Linked DNA regions of Kluyveromyces lactis. The protein of the gene in region 1 purifies or fractionates together with the protein of each later gene. This does not show direct contact. Links are inferred from orthologs where the notes say so. Each region holds a gene or a part of one and is shown on either strand. Other genes may lie near its edges.

The links. The genes of interacting proteins can lie anywhere in the genome.
Region 2: the proteins of CDC27 (region 1) and APC11 purify together in Saccharomyces cerevisiae (affinity purification with mass spectrometry; 4 studies listed by BioGRID, with this or other methods). This does not show direct contact. The link is inferred for Kluyveromyces lactis from reciprocal best matches to the Saccharomyces cerevisiae genes CDC27 and APC11.

The regions. Positions count from the first base shown.
Region 1 is NC_006041.1:1,858,946-1,863,558, reverse strand, and holds CDC27 (anaphase promoting complex subunit CDC27), read right to left. Parts: upstream 3,043-4,613; coding exon 910-3,042; downstream 1-909. Other genes in the region: KLLA0_E20879g (uncharacterized protein), read left to right, coding at 1-665; TMN3 (Tmn3p), read left to right, coding at 4,103-4,613. UniProt on the Saccharomyces cerevisiae protein: Component of the anaphase promoting complex/cyclosome (APC/C), a cell cycle-regulated E3 ubiquitin-protein ligase complex that controls progression through mitosis and the G1 phase of the cell cycle.
Region 2 is NC_006041.1:1,570,149-1,572,670, forward strand, and holds APC11 (anaphase promoting complex subunit 11), read right to left. Parts: upstream 1,359-2,522; coding exon 870-1,358; downstream 1-869. Other genes in the region: inorganic diphosphatase IPP1, read right to left, coding at 1-85; KLLA0_E17733g (glutaredoxin), read right to left, coding at 1,576-2,211. UniProt on the Saccharomyces cerevisiae protein: Probably catalytic subunit of the anaphase promoting complex/cyclosome (APC/C), a cell cycle-regulated E3 ubiquitin-protein ligase complex that controls progression through mitosis and the G1 phase of the cell cycle.

The sequences.
Region 1 (4,613 bases):
CCAGATTGTCGTACTTTGCCAATACAACCGAAAATAGAGAACGTGGATTGATTGATATAACCGCTCATAGAGTGTTGCCAGCAAAAGAAGATGACAAATTTGTTTCTCTCTATGCTGCTAGCACTGGTAAAGGGCGTTATTGCTTTAAATTGGTTCCTCCTCAACCTGGCTCCAAGAAAGGTCTAACGTTTACTCAGCCTCGTGTACATTACTTCGCAGTAGACACCAAAGAGGAGATGAGAGCATGGATAGCAGCTCTTATCAAAGCTACCATTGACATTGACACTTCAGTTCCTATTATCAGTTCATGTGCGACGCCTACCGTTTCATTAACAAAAGCTCAGGAAATGCTGTCCCAAGCGCGTGAAGAAACTAGACTGAGAGAGCAGCAAAGGTCACTGAATGAACATGACGAAGACTTATGGGATCAACAAAGAGCTGAGCAAACTCAAAGTTCTGAAGATTTTGCTAATATTTCCTCGCCAAGTATTACGCATAATACGACTATCACGTCTGGATTAACCAGTCCTTATTTAATGGCTGGTCAGCTAACCTCAAATACGACTGCTAATACTGGAAATTCATCGACTGGTTCGAAAACACTATCAACTCAAGGAGGAGAATATTTTGGCCTGGATCCTAAGTTCATGAGTAATCGTATTTGATCTTCACTGATCATTCTCCAAAGAAATTCGTCGACTGTGTAGTATTTTTTATGTAGATCTTTAGTCCTTCGTCTATCTGTATTATTATCATTAATATTATAATCTTCAAATCATCTGAGAACACTCATATACACTGGGAGACGCTATTTTTGAAGGCTATATAGATAACTGTAAAAACACGTTGTGTGAAAGAATTTGGTTGAAGGTTCAAGTAGATTTTTTGTAACGATATATAACAGATTTATCAACCCTGTTCATGACATTTTTCCATGGCTTCTTTTATTAATTGACTACCTTTAGGGTCTAGGTTCATTGCAATAGTATATTGATTCATTGCATCTTGCTTCTTACCCACAATTTGGTACAGGTTACCAAGCAAAAAGTGCACATGAGCTTCATCAGGGGTAAGTGATTCTAATCTTTCAAAATTATGTAGCGCAGAAGAATACTGTCCCATGTTCAATAGAAGTTGTGATTTCTTGAACAATGCTAAAGACGAGTTTGGTTGTAACTCAGTTGCTAATTCGTAGAAGTTCAAAGCTCTCTCTGGCTGCTGTAATCTTTCTAACGCAACGCCGCAGCAACAATTCAAAATGACATTGACCGGATTCAAGGCTCTTGCCTTCTCGAAGAATAATAGTGCTTCTTCAAACTTTCCAAGTTTGACACAACACATTCCAAGTCCGTAAAGTGCATTGTAATGAGTTTTTTCGATAGTTAAAGCTTTACGGAAGCAAGATTTTGCATTGTCGAATGCATCATTATTAGAATACTCGTGCCCTTGTAAAGTGTAAGCGTAAGCAAAGAATGGGTCCAATTGAATTGCCTTTCCGAAAGCAGTAATGGCTTCGTCGTGATCTTTATTTAACGAATGAAGATTCCCCATGCTGCACCAGGCAATGGGGTTATACTTATCCAACGTTAATAGCTCCGCGCATAAAGCGGATAAGTGTGTTTTGTCTTGCAAATGCCATAAAACGGTTGAGAAGGTGTCCATATCTTGAAACCGCGTAGGTTGTAAAGTTCTTAATTTCGTGAAGTAAGATTTAGCCATTTCATAATTAACTAATTCAAAATGTAGCTTACCCAATGTGGATAAACACCAAGGCATAGACACCGCTATCTGTAGTGGAATGCGATTTTGCATCATGCGGATGGCTTTGAATGAATCATACCTTGACTTGCAATATTCTATATGGATGAAGTTGGAGAAAAGTTCATCCAAATTTGAGTCAAAAGTGCTAATGTTTGGCATCTGATATGAGTTGTTGGTCATAATTTTTTTATCCATGGGAGACCTTAACAACTTGGTTTGGGAATCTGTTCCTGACAGTTTCGATGGTGTTGTAGTTCCGAGATGTTTAGTATCGATAGAAGATGTGTTTGTAGTGGTTACATTTGCACTTGAAGTTGCAGTAGTTGGTGTTGTAGTAAACCTTGTGTGTTTTTTAAAGAAATGAGGAGAAATGGATACACCAACGTTAGAAGCCGATAATAAGGATGTAGTTTGGGAGTTGGAAAGGTTTTGTCTGTTTCTGGATGGAGCTTTAAATGGAGTTTGAGGCTTATTCCTAGATCTGGAATCCATACTACAGTTTGGAGGTGGTACCGTCATCATTGCTGCAGATGATTGCGAGCGTGTAGGCGCATTCTTCTGGGATTTGAATACCGTAAGAACCAAACTTGAACGAAGAACACAAAGTTCTGTGCTCGCTTCCCAGAGATAAGGATTCCCATCCAAGGAAGATCTGAGGAAAGTTTCACTCTTAGATTCGTGATCCAATAATTTGAATAACTTCCCTACTAAGAGACAGATTGTTGATTTCTTCGGATACCCAAAATGGGATAGACAGGTGTCCCAACAGGACTGTAATGATAATAGACAATCCAAAGCGTCTGAATAATTCTTCTTCAATTTCAAACAACATCGAGAGTATACGTAGGCACATGCAAGATTATCATGTCTTCTTTCAGAGGAAACATGCATAGCAGTATGAAAGTCATTGTTCAAGTACAGGGATAGAGAGTAAAAGTAATTCGCAAGCGCTCTTTCCTGAGATGATTCGTCCAGATTCGAGCATTCCGCAAATAACAACTCTGAGACGAAAACGGCGGATTCTATGTTCAACTGTGATAAATGATCCGAGATTAGAGTTTCAAGTCTTTTAAATTTCTCTGAAAGATGTGAGAGATTCGATGAATCAACATAATTTGAAGCAGAGGCAGCTGCTGCTGTTGCTGCTGCATCTGCTGCGGAGGTTGCAGACGGCAGGCCGTTGAAGACTGATGCATCCATAATTTCTTGATTGTGACCACCTAAACTATCATGAGCAGGCACATTTCCACCAGCATTCTGCCGCACAGAATGGAATAGCATGGGTTGGTTAACTTAAAGAAACCAACAGCACTTCTTAAGTTCTCTCTTGATAAATTTGCAGTGCACTACATACATTGCACCTCTCCCTCATCTATGTATACAAAAACAATATGATTTCTAGATTTGAAATTTATCCTGACATAATGATAACAATAATAATTACAGTCACGTGATGTGCTTTTTTGAGCCTCAGTAGAAGTTGTTACCCGGTCATTACGCTAACATGTGTATTGTCCTCTGGCACCCATGCACCACGTATTGTATATCTCGAATTTTTGAATCGATTCTTGATCTGCTTTAAGGAAAGGCAAACGGAAAACAAAAACAGAGCTTTATGTGCAGAAAGGGTCTGGAACAAGAAGACACTGGCCAGCACAGAGGAAACTGTTTTTTTTTAGATAGTCACAGAGGATATATTGTCTCACTCAGCCTGACTAAATAAAAGAAGGCGAGAGACAGCACAAGGGCAGATTAACATATTATATAATTAATGTTTACGAATAGCTTACAGAATGTGTAGAGTGGATATTAATACAGTTACGTTAATATAGACCCCATACGTGGAGAGTAATGTACGTAGATATATATATCCATCTTATCGCTGCCGTGTACTAACTATTCAGGATAATGATTCCTTTTCCAGAAGAAAAAAAACGATTTTTCAGAATTTTTCCTTGTCGATTTTCTATTCTTCGAGATGAGCTTTTCATATTTAAAGCATATCTCAGGCAAAAAGGGAAAAGAGTAGAGGAGAAAGTTTAAATGGTAAACAAGACTTCACTCTGAGGTTTTTGATAGGATATATATATATATATATATATATATATATCTGTATTATACTACTGTCCTGGTTTTGGTTTTGTTTTGGTTTTGGTTAATAATTTTCCTGGGGTTTTTTTCTTTTGATCGAAGAACACTGGTATCCGCCCTCCGTGTTTGTGTGTGACATTAAACTATTATATTTCCTTAACACAATTATTCATACTGTTCCTCATTTATTTCTGTCTTTCGCTTTAGTTCATAAACCATTAACACACGCAGCCACCACTAAACTCTTGTTATGAAACTGAAATCAAGATCGGTTCTAGTCAGTTTACTGGTACTTTTAAGTCTAATATGGGTTCTTCCAAGGCTGAGAAATCATCGTCGGCCTTCCCCAGATGCCAACCCATTCAAATTTTCTTCGTCGTACCAGCAGCACACTGGAGTTTTCAAAGAGTACGGACTATTGAGTCCGAACTTCTATGAGTATGGTGATAAGGTCGATATCACTGTGAACAAAGTCGAATCTGACTTAACTCATTTCTCGTATGGATATTACGACTTACATTTCACTTGTCCACCGTCGCAGGACATGAAACCTTTACCCTTGACTTTCAGTGACATATTATACGGGAACAAGAAATGGCAATCGGACTATCAGCTGACGTTCGGTAAAGACGAGGATTGTGTGCGATTATGTGATAGGAAAACTAACGGTGAGGGGAAGAAACAAGCCTATGAATTAATTAAACAGAATTACGTCGTCCAATGGTTGGCCGATGATGATTTACCAGGTGCTACCACGTATC
Region 2 (2,522 bases), about 290 kb from region 1:
TATAAGGCTGTATATCAATTGAAGAACCTAAGATCATATATATGGCGTCAGTGGCCAATGGTAAACCAGTGCAGGCATTTTTCATTCCTATTTATATATGAATTTTGCAACTTTTTTTTCCTCAGGTCGTCCACTTTGAGAGAACGACAGGATGGAAAAGAAGCAGATTGGTGCTTGAAGAAGCGATAGTTTAGGAAGTGGCTGATTCTGTGTTCGTGTGTAGGTGTGCTAGGGTATACATTAGGGTCTGTATATATTTGGTCCGATTGTATACAGTTGCAGTTGCATAGTGTATTTTTTTTAAAGTCATTGGGTTTAATCATGCTTCTCTCTTTGTAGTAACAGAGTTTCACATTAGGGGAAAATCACGTGATAAGAGTGCTTTTGGGGAAAAGCCACACGATAGGTACCGCATGGTCGTGGCTTGCTGAAACGGTAGGTCAACGTACAATCGACGTGTGTACTGACGAACAAACATTGACTGCAACACGATACCATTTTACAATAGTATACTGGTTAGCTTATCGCCCTTTTTTATTGAACCAGTGGTTGTGTATTCTCACATGAGCTTGATCATCTGATTGTAAAAGTATCAGGTGTAGTTGTTTTTCTTACCCCATCAAACAAGAAATTAACAGCTTCTATGGCCAAGTTGGTAAGGCGCCACACTAGTAATGTGGAGATCATCAGTTCGACTCTGGTTGGAAGCATTTTCTTTTTTGTCTCATGTGAGCAAGAGACACCACCTGTAATATGGCCTCGCTACCTAGTATACTTAGCCCATCACTGATGATTTGAACCACTACTCTATCCTATTACCAATTAAATAGATGTACACACACATATCTTCAGCATATCGAGTCTTCCCTTCATCGTATGAAGCCATCATCCATCACATCTTGATCTATTTCACCACCACCCATCGGAATGTTGTGCTGTCTCACACTCATCAACAGTTTCTGGAACTCATCATGGTGCATCTTATTTATCAGAACGTTAGGCCTCAACTGGAATCCTTGTCTACACAAGGGACACAACCCTTTTGATGTTTCAGTACTTAGCCATTGCTTGATACAATGAACATGGAAATTATGATTGCATAATCCTAACACAATTGGACATCCGCTACCAGGGTAATCACAGGAGGGGCAAGTAGCATCGTACCGGTTACGACAGATCCCACACACTTCATATTCTTCTTCATCGTTCTCTGCATCCTCATCTTCATTCTGTATATCTTCCCATTTTTCCATATGTACCGTTTGATCTGCAACACCATGTTTCCCTTTCGATAAATCCTTGGGAATATCCCACGCCCAAGTGCTCACTAGACTGACATCTGTTACCTCTATACGCATAGTAACACGGGTGAAGTATCCTTATCGCAGGCTTTATCCTCGTCACAGTTCCCTTCGTTCTGTCTTTGTGTTTTCAATTCTTCCTATCTAATCCTTTCTTATAATATATTATACCCATATGCATAAAAGTGTCACAGGTTCTATTACAAATTTAATAAAGGGATCAGATCCACTGTAGTATAGTATACGAATGTTTATATATGTTATAGGCCAAGTTTTAAGTCGCAGCAGCAGCTTTCTTCACGGATAAAGTAGATCCGGCCCATGTCTTCAAGCTCTGTAATAATGAATTATCCTCATGTAATCCAGCAAATTCATCGCTACCACCACGAGATATACCATTGATAATAACGTTAGGAACAGTAGACCTTCCTGTCTTGCTACCGATATATTTCTGTAGTTCAGCTCCATTCTCATGCTTATCCAATTCAACGATAGTATAAATTGGATCAAATTCATACTCCTTCAACAAGTTCTTGAGCCTCGTACTGAAAGGACAGTAACTCTTAGAAAACACCACGATTGGTGATTGAGAAAGGATATTCTTGTACTCAGCTTCAGCGTTGTATGTTTCTACTTCAGCAGCGAAATCAGAGTCTTTCACACCGTTGGGCCCAGCCATATTTTTAACTGCGTTGCTGGTATCAGCAACAACCGCGTTACTCTTGGTTTCAGCAATACCTTCTTGGATATTGTTGATGTCACTCTCGACCTTGGCATCATTCGCGAGGTTGCTAGATTCTTTCCCCACGTAAGAACGCGTCACGGACTCTGCATTGTGCCTGATGAAGAAAAGAACGAAAATCACCATACCGGTGAGACTTACCAGCCTCAAACTTCTCTTACTCAACATCTCGTTTCAACAACGCCTGGGATCTGATAATCTATGAAAGTGTAGACAGACGGTGTGTCCAAAATCTAACGTGTCTTGTTCATATTGTTTCATCATTTTAAGGTTGTATGTGACAAGAACCAATTTCTTAAATAGCAAGAAATTTCACTATTTCATTCTTGACCAACAGCCGTATCATCGATAAATAAGAGAGAACTAAAGAAACAGGGGAAAGGATGGAATACCTATGGGTTTGCCGGACGCATTAAAGCATAAATAGTGTATAAATAATACTAGATACCACCCGCTATCCTGAATATATGCATATTTAT